2 linked regions of the Coturnix japonica genome follow. The protein of the gene in region 2 interacts with the protein of the main gene of each other region in a pairwise test. Links are inferred from orthologs where the notes say so. Each region holds a gene or a part of one and is shown on either strand. Other genes may lie near its edges.

Region 1 (4,368 bases), on a different chromosome or scaffold from region 2:
AAATATTTCAAGTCAGGATAATAATAATTAAAAAATAAAAACGAATTAGCCACTTCTCTTATTACAGGCTAAAAAAGAAAACCACGCACAGCCCAGAGTGCCAACAATGCATCAAAGCAGTAGCTGTGTCAGTAATGAAACAGGGATACAGAGATAAAAGAGCCTTTTGAGCTAAGCCAGACTCCTCTGGCTGTTGCAGCAACATCCTCATTAACTAAGCCAGCCTCTGGGGGGGGACTCACAGAGATTTTGTTAAAGCAGTTTGCCTTTCACACAGTTTAGTGTTTGTCCTTAGTGCTCAGCTCTCCTCTCACACTGGATGGTCTTGTTTTGCTGCCATAGAAAAGCTACAAGGCTGATTTCAGGGTAATAGGCTGAAGCCCTCTGAGCAGTGCACTGTGTTGCAGTGCCACAGCTAAGGGAATAAATCAGGCTCTGGATGAAATAAGTGCCTTGGTAAGAAGTAGAAGCATAGGACAGTGATAAAAGTATCTCTTAGGAAAAAAGAAGTCTACCACAACTCCTCATTGAACATATTATAAAGCTGCCCTTGAACATTCCCTAAGCTCAAGGTAATCCATCATCTTCCAAACAATACAGCAGTGCTTTTCCTAAACTGCACAATAAACGGATGTTGGAGATTCACACCTCGAAATCCGTACAGATCCAGAACAGACCGCGAGTGTTTGGCACAGAAGGATCTGGATGCATAAATAAGAGAGAGGCTGAACTGACCAAGGCCAAGCAACGCCCTCAGTGCTGCTGTCACAGCCTGATCCCTGCTCTGATGTTTACTCAGTGAGATCACTCGGCTGCCTGAACTCTGAATTTCATACAGAGGGCAGGAATGAGATCAGTTACACAGCTAATCTGTTCACTGTAACTGCACAGAGCTGACAGGGGGGAATATTTTCAGCCGCTGGTTTCAAAGAGAAAAACACATTTTAGCAATACTGAAAGAACCTATGCATCCAGTATCCACTTCACATTACAATGAATAATTACTTTACTAGGAACTATAGAAGTTCTGCATCTTAGCTCAGCTTTGTATCAGTGCTATACGTACCTCCTGCCTCTGCTTTCACTGTACCCTTGATATAGTTTGCTCCAAAGACAGGCTGCTTAATCTCACAATCTTTCAACAAATAAAAGGCCATCCCAAAAGACTGCAGAGCATCCTTTCCCTTCGATATAAAGATAACCTGAAAAAGAAACAACATTACAAAGGGTGTTTAAAATGAACAGGAAACACTGCCCCGGTTTATTATCTGTGGACATTGCTGGTGGACTGAATCTGCCTCCCACACTCAAAGATCCTTGTAATTTCTGCAAGCCCCAGGGTTCTCAGAACTGTCACAAGGGTAAAATGATGCCTCAAGGCCATAAAGCCTTCCAGAAGGATTACACACTTGCTCAGATAACACTCCTCCCAGTTCCTAGAGAACTCACAGCTGTGATTTAGTAGCTGAACTGCTCCATTCCGCATTTCCAAACCATCGCTCATTTCCAATCTTGAAGATGCCTGGTGGACTAAAACAGCTGCCCAGGTAAGAACTAATGTCATGGTTGACAACTAATCAGATTGATTATCTTTTGCCAAATAGGCAGGACATGCAATGAAGCCACAGTGCTCCCCACAAGGGGAGGACGGGTACATTATCCAGACCTTCATGCACGTGTAGAAGTGCAGAGCCATGAAGAACTCTGATCTCTTTCTAATGCCTTTTACTACTTACTCGGTAGGGAGTCAAGAAAACACTCCCTTTCTTGGTCCCTTTGAACGCCTCAGGCATCGGTTCAGCATCACTGAAGGTCATTTCTACATGATCATAGGTCATCAGAACGCTGCAAACAAGATGAGAAGAGGCACAGTGTTAGAGCTTGGGGCAGATTCCAGCACGTAGAGTTCACTGACTTACCAGAACTGCCTTAACCTCAGCCCAGCACCCAGCACACATGCTCACTCTGCCTTGCACTTCTGCTTGCTCTCAGCCTCGTGTTCCTTCTTCAGTGAGCTGATACAGCTGTTTGCACAGCCGGCTGGTGAATCCAGTCAATTAAACTCAAGTTCTCAATGTATTTCTTGCATTATGTTGAATTTCTGCCCGATCATTTCCCTAAATTGCTTCACCACAAGCAACACAACACAGGTAGGGCTGCTTAGCAGGAACCCCTCAGCCTGGGTTATGCAATGAGGCGACCAGAGGTCACAAGAATCCATCTCAGTCACTATAACGTGATTGGGATCATTCCTCTTCTCACTCCTATAACCCCACACTGACTCCTTAAGCCTCAATCAGAAACCAGCCTGATTAAGACCAATAAAACACATCCATATGGATGCAGGTAGTATTGTCTTAATATGACAACATCCACGTCAGGTAAACCAGGCCCTAATGGTGTGCACAGCACATTTAGACCTATTACCATCCCCAGTCGTACAGAAGGGCACCTGGGCCACGAACCAGGGCCTATATGACGGCAATGAGCCACATAGGGTTAAACAAGGGTTAATGAGCCACATAGGGCACACCAAGGGTTAACCCCAACATGGCGGGGGGGGGGGGGGGGGGCGGGTGTTAGAGCCCCTCAGCCCCATATGACCCGCAGGAAAAGGCCATTTTGGACGGAAAGGGGCTCGGAGAAGGAGAGAGAAGAGGGCTGGGCCCCTGACCGCTCACCTCTCGCTGTTGTTAACGATGACGCCGCCGCCCTCCGAGTGGTTCCTGTTCAGCGCCATGTTCAGCGCCGCCTCCGCCTCACAGAGCCGAGCTCGCACTGCGCCTGCGCGAAGAAGAGCCCGCTGGGCGCGCGGTGCGCTCTGGGATTTGTAGTCTCGAGGGGGTGGTGTTCCCCGGGCATGCTGGGAGTTGTAGTCCTCTCGCTCGGCAGCCATGTTGGTTTTTTGGGGTGGTGTAGGTCGCTCCTTAAGGGTTATTTTCTGCCCCAAATCTCACCGCTTCACTCAGCCTCGTCTGCCGTCCCCGAGGAGCAGTGCCACCAATTAACGCTGCTATTAATTCCCCGAGCTCCAGCCAGCTGCTGAGATCATATTGACTTTGCTATACACAACCCAAAGAGCCGGGCTCCTTTTTGGGATAACCCATTTCCCATCCCATCAATCACCCCATTCTGCTCCCTCTGACCATATATAATAAAATGAGCTCAGTTCTTTGCAGCCTGCGTGACTTGGCAGCTCTTCTGCCAGCTTCCTATTTTAGATAGTACCACAGAGCTCACACAAACAAAGCACGGTTTGCCCAGTGCCCTGACTGCATTCCAATTCCCTTTTATTTTCCCCTTCCAGGACTTTATCTTTGGCTGCACTTTGCACGTTTTCATTGCTCACAATGAAAACGCCATTAATCTGGTTATACTGTGCACTAAATGAGGCTCAACCCCTTTAAAAGCAAAGGTTCCCCCCCACTTTCCAGGCTGTTTCAGTGCCCATTTTGTGTCCCAGACACCTGGGTTCCTACAATTAACCCACTGAGGGTTAAACTGGAGGGGCCAAAAAGTCACCCCATAGACAAAGAAAGCTGCTCTGTGGGCGAGAGGAAATCCGGGGACAGGAAAATACCTGCACTATTGGCACAGCTACAGTTTGGGTATAACCCACTGCCTCCAACTGGAGCTGACTCCTAAAACAATCATAACACCTGCATAACTGCATTAAAACCGCTGCAGAATGACATGTTTTGAAGGACTCCTCGTATCAACCCTCAGCATAATGTGTGAATATGTTTTAAGAGGTGATATGAGGCTAAATTACACCTTTTTTTTTGTATGGATTTGAGCTTTCCCTGCAGGGTTTGCAGCCCAGCCCCTCCTCCAGTGCCTGCAAATCCCCAGGGGCAGCGAGGAAACTGAAAGCTCCATAATGGAAACCAGACTGAAATCAACTCAGAGACATAAAGCGTACAGTTCTTGGCAAGAAAAGCACAGCTTTGTGCCTTTTGTATCCGCTTTTTCAATAAGCTGCAAGTTTCCCTTTTAAGAAATGCTCATAACCAACAGCCCCAATTCCTCTCCTATTAAAGTCAGTAGCACACATACACAGCTTCCCCCAATGCTCCCTGAGCTAACAGTGCCCCCAGTAATGCTCTTCTCATAGCTCTGGCTGACGTTTGGTATTAAGAAACTCAGCCTTCATGTCAGGAAGTGCTGGCGTGCATGGGAAGCTCCAGAACTTCATGTATACAGATTAAATCATCGAGGGAAAAAAACATCTCATCTCTTCAACTTTGTTATTTCCAAGCCAAGGACAGAAGTCGAAGGGAGACAGAAAGAACTGAAACAATTCATTGCTTGGAACCTCCCCAGCGCTGTCAATATTGTTGTTGGATTCCAGGATTCTTCCGTTTCTTT
Region 2 (3,812 bases):
TTCAAGATCTCTGCCCTGACCCCGGTGCTCTGCATTTGTCTGGGGCCTTGGAAATTGCTTGGTTAACTTGCAGGAAATTCTCTTGTTCTCTCAGCACAAGATTACTGCAGCAACGGGAGCAGACTGCAACTGTCAGCTCTAATGTGATTTCCCATAAACTCTGGATGCTAATATTGTATTTCCTGGAATTAAAAATTCGAGGCAATTTATTTCTTGGGCTTTGGTTCCCTTTTCAGATTTTACCTTTGCATCAGGATGGGGATTTTCTTGCTTTCATGTTGTTCAGTAGCTCAGATGTTACGGGGCTCTAATATTGTTTTATAGCACAACTTCGCAGTAATTACCCCTTATTCTTGAGGTGGGAGGAGAAAGTTGGCTCCAAAATGTGGCTCTCCTAAGAAACTTGGAGAGAAAATTCATCATTCAGCTCTTAACAGAATTGCTCAGAAGTGTATCCAGTTTGCTTTCCAAGCAGGGATAATTGAAGACACAACTAATTGTGCTTTGTTTTCTTTTCTTGCTTAGGTCATGATTTTCATTTTCTCGTGTCATTCTCTTGAAGAGAGGAAATGATTGTAGTGGAACTTCTTACAGATAAGCCACAGATACGGATTCGTCGTAGTTCAGAAACGTTCATAGAAGAGCAGATATAGCCCTTTTCTTTGTGTTCTAACGTCTGTCCTATTAAAAAGGGAAATAAAAATGACGACTTCGTCTATTAGGCGGCAGATGAAGAACATTGTGAACAATTACTCGGAGGCCGAAATCAAAGTCCGGGAAGCGACCTCCAATGACCCATGGGGTCCCTCAAGTTCACTGATGACTGAAATAGCAGATCTGACCTACAACGTTGTGGCCTTCTCTGAAATTATGAGCATGATCTGGAAGCGACTCAATGACCACGGCAAGAACTGGCGACACGTGTACAAGGCTCTTACTCTGTTAGATTACCTGATTAAAACTGGTTCTGAGAGAGTAGCTCAGCAGTGTAAAGAGAATATTTTTGCTATCCAAACGTTGAAAGATTTCCAGTATATTGATCGAGATGGTAAAGACCAGGGCATCAATGTAAGGGAGAAATCCAAGCAGCTCGTGTCTCTGCTGAAGGATGACGAGCGACTGAAGACAGAGAGGGCCCAGGCACTGAAGACCAAAGAACGCATGGCTCAGGTGGCCACCGGGGTGGGCAGCAACCAGATCACCTTTGGTCGGGGCTCCAGTCAACCCAACTTGTCCACCAGCTACTCGGAGCAGGAGTATGGCAAGTCTGGAGGCTCCCCAGCATCCTATCATGGCTGTAAGTACAAGCAAACGTGGAAAGCTTTTTTCTTTCTTTTTATTTATTATTTTTTTTTTTTGAGATATTTTCTATTCTGATTTGCCATCAGATGTGAGAGTATGTGGTTCTTTCTAGAAGGGTTAAGGTACTGTTTGCAAGAGCTGAATCTTAGAAGTCCTGTTCTGTGGCACTGGGGTCTCTTGGGCTGGGTTTTTGGTCTGGAGAGGATGTGTGTGTTGATATAACTCAATTTATAAAGCAGTTGTTTACTGCCAGTCCCCAAGCATAGCATTGTAGAGCTGAATTTGTGAATGCATTCCAGTGTTTGATGTGAGAGGTCCTCAATCTCAGGAGGGAGATAGTTAATTGATTTTTTTTTTTTTCTTTTTTCACTATTTTTAAAAGAATTACTTGACCTTTCTTGTGTGTTTTTCTTTCTCTTCCCTTTTAAATGTAATTGGAAGAAAGTTAGGAATAGCAGGTTTGTCTCACATTGTGCTAGGTAGTTCATGGCGCTGCTGTTCTATTTTAACAAGAGTATTGGGATTGAAGTTCCTTTCTTGCTTTTCTTGCTTGCTCAGCTGCTCGTAGAGTAGTAACACTTTGAATGTGTCAGTATTTTGATATTTATACAATCAACATTTGGCATCAATAGTAAATACTGTATTTCATTCTTAAAATAAATAAATAAGACCTCCAGAAAAGTACAGTGATGTGGGAAGAATGGATTCTTTATACCAGCCCTTGGGGGAACTCCCTGTCATGTTAGGAAGAGGCCTGAGTTGGCACTAAATCCTTCTTAATATAAGTAATGATCTGATGAAAGCTGCTCTGGCTGAAATGTCAGTGGTTGTGGTCTAATTCTGAAGGAAAATCTTTTCTTTAAATGAATGCTTATAGTGTGTGGGGGTCTGTAACAGAGCCAGTGTGGTGAATCGATAGTACCAGCTTTATGAATCTCCAGTTTCTCATGTCCTGCATCCCAAAGTGCTGCTCGAGTTGTAAGTGTGGGAATGGTGTCAGTACCTGTGTTGTGTATGGGCAGGTTTTGGGGTAGGCAGTAGGAAGCTGGCAGGACAAATCAAGCTGGGATGAAGAATATCTCAGTCTCATCAAGGCTGTAGAGGAAAAGCAGGAAAAGTAATGTTTTTCCAGAACGAAATGCATTTAGGACCCAGGGTTATAAGCAAAAAGCTTGTGAAGATACCGGGTATGGCAGCTTCTATTTTGTCTCTTATTGTAACAATGGAATGATAAATATTTTAGGTTTCCTTTAATCACCAGACTGGAGCATTGATTCAATGTGATTTTTTTAAAGGAGACATATTTCTGTCACTGCCGTAACACTTTTTTTCTTTCATGTAGACCTCAGACCTCATTTATCGACCTTAAAAACTTATCCCCACTTAAGGAGATAGCTTGGAATATTATTGTTTTTAACACCTGCTGAAGGACAGAACTAACAGCCACCAGGGTGCACTGAGCACACCTCTGGTTTGTCCCACACTATTTCTTCACCAGCTCGTACTTTAATTGGGGCACACAACCGGTGTTTGTCATACTGAGTGCTGCCAGAGGCTCCCAGCTATTTCTCACAGCAAGGGTTGAGCAATGCAGGGTGTGTTTCTGAGTTGTTATTCCTTGGACATTTGAGGAATTTTGATGGGGGACGAGATGTCAGGAAGCAAGTTTGCTCATTGTCTCAGTACTGAGCGTGAGGTTACTTGATGTTCTCATTTGCCTGTGTGTTGGTTTGCTGCTTATCTCTACCTGAAAAGCAATCTTAATAATGATTTCTTAGCCATTTTTCCCTCTTCCCTCCTAATGCTCGTACCTAAGAAGCTTTAGAAATCTCAGGCTTGTCTTTTTTTCCCCCTGTAGATTCCTCCTTTGTTACAGACTCTCCTGTATAGAGGCATCTAGATTTAATTTAGATCTTTCCCAGTAGCATGAGGATTGCTTCTTAGAAAAAGTACACTAATTCTTGCTAAAGGTTTAGCACGTTTGATTTGTATTTCAATGCAATTAAAGTTGGGGGAAGTCTGTAACAACTTTTCTATTGGCATGGTTAAGTGAAATATTTCATCTAAGTGTGGTGGTGGTAGCAGACCTTACTTTCATTCCTGGCTAGGCACAGTGGATGGGGATTGCAGATGAGTAGCTCAGCTGTACAGCACTGACTAAATATTGCAATGCTCAAACTGCTGCTCTTCTCCAGCTCCTCAAGCATGTGTGTAGGCTTGTGTCTACGGTGCATACATGGTTTGGATTTTGTATTCGATGTTGATCTAGAAGGTTTTGTTTGGATAGAATAGTTCTAAATTATCCTTCTTGGAAAAATAGAAACAGCACTGATGGCATGTGTAGGATGAGGGAATTAAGGATAAAGGTCTCTGGAGTGATTTACCATCGTCCCTTACTGCTGCAGGCTAGGCACAGTGGTGGGTAGGGACATTTTCCCCTTTTCCTTGTAGATCTATTCATCTGACTTCCAACAATCAGCTAGAAAAAGTGAGAAATGCACAGGAGAAGT

The links.
Region 1: the proteins of EPN2 (region 2) and WBP2 interact in binary tests that used the Homo sapiens proteins (3 or more experiments, as listed by UniProt). The link is inferred for Coturnix japonica from reciprocal best matches to the Homo sapiens genes EPN2 and WBP2.

Annotation. Positions count from the first base shown.
Region 1 is NC_029533.1:4,035,526-4,039,893, reverse strand, and holds the start of WBP2 (WW domain-binding protein 2), read right to left. Parts: upstream 2,817-4,368; 5' UTR 2,741-2,816; coding exon 2,682-2,740; intron 1,846-2,681; coding exon 1,737-1,845; intron 1,203-1,736; coding exon 1,067-1,202; intron 1-1,066. UniProt on the Homo sapiens protein: Acts as a transcriptional coactivator of estrogen and progesterone receptors (ESR1 and PGR) upon hormone activation. In presence of estrogen, binds to ESR1-responsive promoters. Synergizes with YAP1 to enhance PGR activity.
Region 2 is NC_029529.1:5,216,961-5,220,772, forward strand, and holds part of EPN2 (epsin-2), read left to right. Parts: intron 1-525; 5' UTR 526-702; coding exon 703-1,297; intron 1,298-3,812. UniProt on the Homo sapiens protein: Plays a role in the formation of clathrin-coated invaginations and endocytosis.